Arabidopsis thaliana: one gene and its partner. The protein of the gene in region 2 purifies or fractionates together with the protein of the main gene of each other region. This does not show direct contact. Each region holds a gene or a part of one and is shown on either strand. Other genes may lie near its edges.

Region 1 (3,924 bases), on a different chromosome or scaffold from region 2:
TCCCTGTCAAAATTAGAAGGAATATACACATTGATACAGCTAGTAAAGCACAAGATTGATTCTTATTTCTGCTCCACGAAGACCGGGAAAACCATATAGGAGATCTAACACAAAACAAAAGTAACGTATTATGCAGAACTTAACTCTTTGCCTCCAAAGTAGCTGGATCGTTGTCAGCAAATTGTACCATCTCGTTCTGTTTAAGAAGAAGAAACTGTTAGCAACTTGTTAAGCATGTGAATAGCTCTATGCAAACAGATAGTCTGTATAATCTGACCTTCAGATCTTTGTGTTTCTTTTCAATATCTTTGAGTTGCGTCAAGGCCTCTGTTCGTTCCTCCTGCAGCAAGAACAGCAATTCTGGTGAAAAGCACACGTAAGCTTATTCGAGCATTAATTCTACAATACTGAAAATACTTACCGATTCTTCCCTTCCCTTCTTTAGGGCCTCACACTGATCAACAAGTTCTGCTAACCTTTTGTTACTACCCTGAAGATCAGATTCAAGTTTCTGGCGAACACTCCTAAGCTGTTCATTCAAAATGAGATCAGAAACAATGAATTTCGCTATGCTCAAATTAATATGAATCTTTTTGATGTCATCTCAGGATACAGAACGGTGACTCACTTGATTGCCAGCACAGCTGGGAAGGCTCCAAAAGTAGATCTTCATTTGCAAAATAATGAACACCGTCAAACAACATATAACAGAGACAAGGACTATATGGCAACAAATGAAATAAAAAGATCCAACATAGGAACACTAAGCTACTCACAGAAATTCCAATCTTGTCTTTCGCAACAAGATCATCATCGACTAAACTCTGGATAACATCTTTCACAGACTGACTAATTACACCCTTCTTCGGCCCCATCTTCTCAAGTTCCTTTAGCTGAAATTTTTTTACAAAAGTAGAGACCCATAAGTGCTTGTATCACAAACCCAAAAGTTCAATAGCAACAAATTTAGGCAGTATATGCACTTCACGACTCTAGATATCAGATCACTTGGTAGATAAAGCTAGTTCAAAGGCGTCCAAAAATTAGCAAGTTGTAAAAACTAAAGAAAGTGCTCACTAGGAAGAAGTCTTGAGACTCATAGAATATCTGAAGCATCTTCTCTCGTTTCTCCTCCAGCGAAAGTCCCCGTTTCTTAGACTGAATATCATCAACAATAGAAAGCAGCGATTCAGTTGATACGAGAATGACGAAAAAAAACTTCAGAGCTTCAATGACGAAATCCAACAAATGATCTGTCAACAAATAGTTTCCAGATCGAAAATGTCAAAAATATATACAGTCAACTCAGCGACTACACTGATTGCGAGAATTGGCTGCTAGATAAATGCTAATTCGAGAACCTATCGATTCGCGTCATGCAGTCCAAGTGTTTGCGGAAATTCCTCACACAAATTTGTAATGAACTACGGAAGATAGAAACATTACTACCGATGAACGATAAGTTTAAACAAATTTCTTCGAAGAGTAAGAGAAACACATAACGATGACTACTAAACATTCAAACAAATAGGTCGAATCAATACATCCAAAATTCTCTTGTAAGTCGAAGAATCACAAGCTAAGATCATCAGTGTAAGATAATCACGATTCATAGAATCATAGAGAATAATCACTCGATCTTCCCAGGAAAATGCACAAATCACAGAGGTTCATTAGCGAAACAAAATCACAAGTAGAGAACATTCGTCCAGAGTATATTACCATCGTGATCTCTTGCTCCTGGTGATGCAATCCAAAGGATTTCAAACACTGCTACAGCTCTCTCTCACTCTCTTCCCTCACTATCGTCTCCTCTCTTTATCAAATTCGAAATGAGAGAATTGTAGAAGAAGCCTTGAAAACTTAAGCGGGTTATTATCCCTCGCTTTCTGTTTCATTTTTTATTCCAATTAATTTGAATTTAACCTTAAAACGACACGGAGTCCAATTTTATGGTACCAAAACGGCATGATGTTTGTTAAAGCAGCGAAGTCAACGTATATGGTTGACTATTCATGAGTAGTCTTATCAGGCGAAAGTGATGAACATAGGAGTAAAGTGATTATTAACCAAAGGAAAAAGTGTCATAAAAAGATACAAAAATTACAAAAGATAAATTATGTGAAGAACACTCAAATTGCAGATAACATTAACGACGGGGATTATAAAAGTTTTTCGCTCCGAATTAATCTGATTCAGATCCTTATATACATCGTCTGTTCGTGTCTATCAATGCATACATGTCTCTGCTCGGAGAGGTGAATAACCTGCAGTTAAACCAAGCCAATTGCAAAACTAGTTAAATTACAAATCCATAGTCTGTAAGCAAATTGATTGATTTTGCTTTGATTATAGATAGAAGAGACCTTAGAGGGCCATCTCAGCCTGTAATGCAGCGAGTTCTTCTTCCTCAGCAGTCCGCTTCTGGGGAACAGGACGAGCCGGTTGACGCCCTGCAGGCACTGGAACTGAAGGCAATGGAGGAGCTGTTGTTGCCGGCTGTAGAAGTTGCGATTCAAGCTCTTCACTTTCTAGTTCATCAAGCTCTGCTGCAAGCTCATCCTATCAAAGAGAAGTTTTTCTTAGACAAAAGTCATTATTAGTTGAAAAATATATGATCATTTGGGTACAAGAAAGTTACCTCGTCGAAGTCAGCCGCTGCCCCCATTGGAGTCGCCAATGCTTCTTGGATCTGTTTCATGTTCTCGGTTTGCTCATTGATCTCGTCCATGGTCTTATCCACATCATCAATATTTCTGCAAAATATTGTGTTTTGAGTTAGTCAGGCACTAGAAATGTTAAAGCATTCAAGCACAAGAAAAGCATAAGTATTTTGAATACCAAGCTCGTATTAACGATTCCCAGAACTGATGACGGTTAAAATGGTAGTAAAGAGTAATATGGTGAAAATGTGATGAACACTTACGTTGCTTTCTGCATTGCCTTCATTGCAGAAGCTCCACTCCTCAATGCATCAACAGTTTCGGTTGTTGCTTTTGCACCTTCTAACATAATCATCTGTATGACAAAAAGATATAAGATCCCAATAAATTCATCTAATTACTGCTATATAGTTTATAGTTAACAATCTTAAAACAAACTCACTTGATCATGAATACGGAGCTGGAAATTCCCAAGCTGTTCGACTTGTCCCTCATATAACCTCTTCCTTTTCAAACACTGTATAGCCGCTGCAAAAACCCAATACAGCTTTTAAGTACTCCAGTGATTAGCAACACACATGAGTCATAATAAATAAGAGGTCATACCTCGTTTGTTCTTAGCCCGGGAGTATTCTTTTGCCTTCTCAACCTCTGCACCAGCTTTCTTCAAGAGTACTTTCTCCTTTTTCTCTAGCATCTCAAGCGTCTGCAATGAACAAATCAACAAAATTTGAATATGGTTTAAAAGCAAACGATCATATAAATTGTACTCAGAAATCCCCAATTCAATCGTTTTTGAGTATTAAATATAAACGAGAATCGGATTTGAAGTGATGTCTTATGGTGATTTAAGTTTAAGATTAAACAAACAGTACAGAGATCAGTACACAGAGAGATCGATATTTCTTTCAGATCGAACGTAAATTGAGAGAGAGAAGTAGATAAGTAGATGATACCTCGTTAAGCTTGTCTAAAGTTTGGAGAGCATTAGCCTCCTGCTTGGGTTTCCCGAATAGCCGATTCATCATGATTTTGCTCCCACTTCGATCTCTTCTACCCCAACCGACACGATCACAGGTTACTGAAACAATTTTCCGCGAATTAAGAACCGATCGATCGATTAATCTACGAGGAAGATTCAGGATTCGTAAGAATCGGATCAAAAAATACCTCTGTCCAAATCTGAATTGGAGATGGGGGAAGATCAATTGTATACGTAGACGAGAAATAATGGAAATCACTTGTATTGGTTTTTGTTTGT
Region 2 (3,924 bases):
AGAAAAAATGATGATCACTTCTTCAGGGTTGTTTCACAGAAACAGGATAACATGAGTTTAGTGTGCCAGAGATCGTCACTAGTATCTACAACAACAACTACACGGTGTTTGGATGCTAGAATTATGCAGCTACTATACTAGTCATTGAAGCTTTACCAAACAAGCAAAATTAACAAACACAGAACACTGAGCAGAGAAAGAAACTTACCTCTCATTCTTGCCAAATCCGAAACGTGCACCAAAGTAAAATGCAACAGAGATAAGCCATGAATCACTGTGAACTGCAACCAAAGAAATCCAGTCTTTTTCTTGCATTCCGTCCCTTGCGAAATTGATGCCTAACGCTGGTTCAGGAAGCTCAGGAGGGACCTCCTCAACGGGAAGATTAACCTCCCATGTCTCATTTGGAAGTCCATAAAGACACAAGTTTTCCTTCTCTGCATTAGCAAAAAACGTAATTCACTAAGAAGTCAAGAAGAGAAACCACAAAGAGAACTAACTTCATCTTAGGTACAAATCTCACAAACACTTAAAAAGTCTATAATCTGTTCAAACATCATGAACCAAAAAAACTGTTCAAACAGACAACAACTCTGACAGGAAGATAATCAAAGATATAACACCTAACAGAGGAGTCAACTAGAAAAAGGATCATAACAACAAGTCTACTGCAGATTAGATGTAATCAGGAAGAAGCTAACTAAAACAATCTAACAGAATTTAGAAAAACAAAAGCTGGGAACAAAAAGAATCCGTGAACAAACTCATGAAGCAAAAAAAACGCATGTCCAATTACAATCTCTTCCCTAATTCAGACCCGAAAGGAACTCTTGCACTGAAAAATCTTAACTTTAGCAAAAAAAAAAAAAACACATCTTCCTATAAACAAGATAAGAACCAATGCGTTAGGAAGCTATATACAAGACTTTAAATGGGTAACGAAATAACTCACCAGGGTCACACTGATGGTAAAACTTCTGTACATCTGCAAAACAAAACACACAACAAAAGAACATGAATAAACCCAAAACAGGAAGAAGAAAGCCAAAATCTTTTGGGGGTTTTTTTCTCAGGAAATTAAGAAAACCCAATTGAAGAAACGAGCACTAAACATATAAAAAAAACTCGCAAATCTACAGAAATCATCTAAGATTCGATCAAAAGAAACAGAGTAAATAGAGAAAGAGAGATCGAGCTGACCAGTAGAGAGAGCCTTGATGAGACCAGCTCTACGACCACGAAAGTCGCTAAAAACCTCTTCGACAGTGCGAGGTATAGGATGCTGAATTCCTTCCATAGTATTGCTTCAAAAGCCAAAGACTTTCACAGATGAGAATGAATCAGCCTCACCAAAGAATGCTTCCAAGTATCGAGATGCACTCAGAAACAAAAAAGCCAAGATCGGCTTTTTAGTTTTTCCTTTTGAGGGAATTTTGTATAGTTCGGGGGAGAGTGAAATCTATAAACTTTCGGAGGAATTTATTTCATTTGGGGAAATTGAGAAGAGAGAGCTGTGCTAAGAAAAAAAAACCCTAAAAACGAAAAGGAAAGGAGACAAAAGACAATTTGAGGGATTTGGAAGCATTGGAAGAATAGATTAAAGCGACAACATCTCAACTTTTTTTTTTTTTTTTTAAAGTCACAACCTGTATTTATCTATTTATTTAATTCACTCCAGAAATATAAAGTCGTTTTACTTTTCTTTTGTTTTGGGTCAATATTTATGTGCGCTTTTTTTTCCTGAGGCATGTTCTACAACGAACTGAAGTAATAATACAGTAAATTTCTGCCAGTTTTACTGTGATTAACGTTTAAGAACTGTACTATAATATCCATATCTGTCGATCAATATAATGGAAAGGCTAAAGATTAAAAAAAAATAATGATTTTAAACAAAATTGATGGTTTTACAATATTCTGTCATTAATCTCTAGTTAATAATGAGTTAAATTATACTACTAATAGTTAAAAAGAATGCTTCAAGCTTAATACCGTAGAGAGAGCGAGGGTCTTTATCTGATTTGTTTAATCGTTAATGTTTTTTGTTATTATTTTGGTTTTGTTTATACTACTGTTTTACATGTTTTTGTTAATTTTCATGTGAATTATATTCAAATCAAACTCTACAAAGCTTTAATACATAGAAGTTAGAACTACATTAGGATGGATGACTATGTATTTCCTATCTTTTTGCAGATTAGAATTTGCGGGTAAGTAAGTAAAATGAGGCGTTGATGCTTTTATCCTCAAAAGAACAATCAGTTGTTTTTATGAAGAAGAAAAAAAGAAGAAGAAGTTAGTCACAGTTGGGAGATACTTGACGTGTATCACAAGTTGTCAGATACTTAGCAGAAAGATTAATGGTATAACGTCGAAACCAAAGAAACATTTTGATCTTCATACCAATAATTAAGTTTCCGGATGTTGTCTAAGAATCAGTTTGCTCCATTTCACGTTTCGACCTTATTGACATGTTGAATCATCAGATGACACATGGAAATGATTTTAAAACAATATGTATTTGTTTGGTTTGCTCTTCATCATGGTCTAATGAGCTATTTGCATACAGCATTTTTTAACATGGTTGTCTAATTTGGGATGTAAGTGTCGTTCTTTTGTATAAAGTTGTTTGATGGAGTTTCGTATTGTTTGATTAATTAAAAGGTAGTTTAACTAATAAAATTTAAATATATTTACGAATAATTAGGATTAGGAACACATTCACGTACTTGCCACATTAATAAAAGTAGACTATTAACTTTGTAAACATGTTATTAATCAATATTAAAAATATGCTACTGTCACATGACTCGCCTTCCAAGTTAGCTAACTATTAGTTAACTTCTAATATGTACTTATTAGATATAATAAGTATAAGTTCGAATCAATCTATTGTAATACCAATGTGGAATGAATTCATAACAAACTATCTTTCTCTCAAGGTTCATTCGTAATAGATTCATAAACATTCGATGAATAATGTAGTATCAGCTGACCAGTCAACAATTTTTGTAAAATACTAAGGCAACAAAATCAAGCTGACTATTCAACAATGGGCCTAATCTCACGAAAACGCCCAATTTGAAATCAACGAAGCCCATAACGCAGTGGTCTTCTCCGTCCATCCACCTGAAGCCCACAATTGATTATGGAGATCATCATCCGAAATCTTCAACCAAATCATTTCAACACAAGGCCCTCAACCCCGAAATTCGATGAGAAAAACTTTTCAACATTTTGTCACTGAAATACGGTTCGCATAATATAATGGAGTTCGGGTAAACCTGGTCTGAAATTTGATTACGAAAGGGCTCACAAATGATTTTACTAGTCTTAGTTAATTAAGCTCGAGGATAATGGGGCAATAGTTGTAATTACAAAAGTTATGGGTCATATTTAAAACATAATAAAAATATAAGGACCATAAACTAAAAAGTTTCAGTGTATCTTGCATCACCGAGGCAAGTATGCCAGTAGCCTCTCCAAGCATTTCAACAATCTTTGCCTTCCACCCGAAGGAAAGCCAATCCTATAAAGAGGGACGAAATCAGATGTAACTTAGCTTGCACATCCCCGAAAACACCAATATTCTTAAAGATTCCACATTATTTCCTGAATAAAGAAGAACCAAAAGGAACATGGGGTTCCCTTACCTCGCCAACAAAAGTCAAGTAAGTACCAATATTAAGAGCACGCCCATGACAATTTTTGCTATCTTTTTATTTTTTTGTACGAATACTCTTCAGATCTTTTTCAGTTGATGTCAATCCAAACTTTAATCATGAGTCTATCACAATGTTGTTGAAGTACATAAAACAAGGATTTATAAACGAGTTAGGAGAATTTTAAACCACAAAAGTAACATAGTTTCACAGAATTGTATCAAAATATCATTATTGTTGTTATATGTATTCATGAAGTGAA

The links.
Region 1: the proteins of AL7 (region 2) and ATMND1 fractionate together in Arabidopsis thaliana (co-fractionation; one large-scale study listed by BioGRID). This does not show direct contact.

What each region holds. Positions count from the first base shown.
Region 1 is NC_003075.7:14,380,786-14,384,709, reverse strand, and holds the start of ATMND1 (Mnd1 family protein), read right to left. Parts: upstream 1,875-3,924; 5' UTR 1,726-1,874; coding exon 1,723-1,725; intron 1,254-1,722; exon of another isoform or gene 1,159-1,253; coding exon 1,078-1,158; intron 894-1,077; coding exon 777-893; intron 668-776; coding exon 629-667; intron 530-628; coding exon 422-529; intron 341-421; coding exon 278-340; intron 197-277; coding exon 145-196; coding exon of another isoform or gene 140-144; exon of another isoform or gene 4-139; coding exon 1-3. Other genes in the region: SNF7.1 (SNF7 family protein), read right to left, coding at 2,368-2,562, 2,642-2,756, 2,927-3,018, 3,106-3,191, 3,270-3,369, 3,620-3,691. UniProt on the Arabidopsis thaliana protein: Required for proper homologous chromosome pairing and efficient cross-over and intragenic recombination during meiosis.
Region 2 is NC_003070.9:4,962,858-4,966,781, forward strand, and holds the start of AL7 (alfin-like 7), read right to left. Parts: upstream 1,659-3,924; 5' UTR 1,298-1,658; coding exon 1,201-1,297; intron 986-1,200; coding exon 953-985; intron 438-952; coding exon 209-437; intron 1-208. UniProt on the Arabidopsis thaliana protein: Histone-binding component that specifically recognizes H3 tails trimethylated on 'Lys-4' (H3K4me3), which mark transcription start sites of virtually all active genes.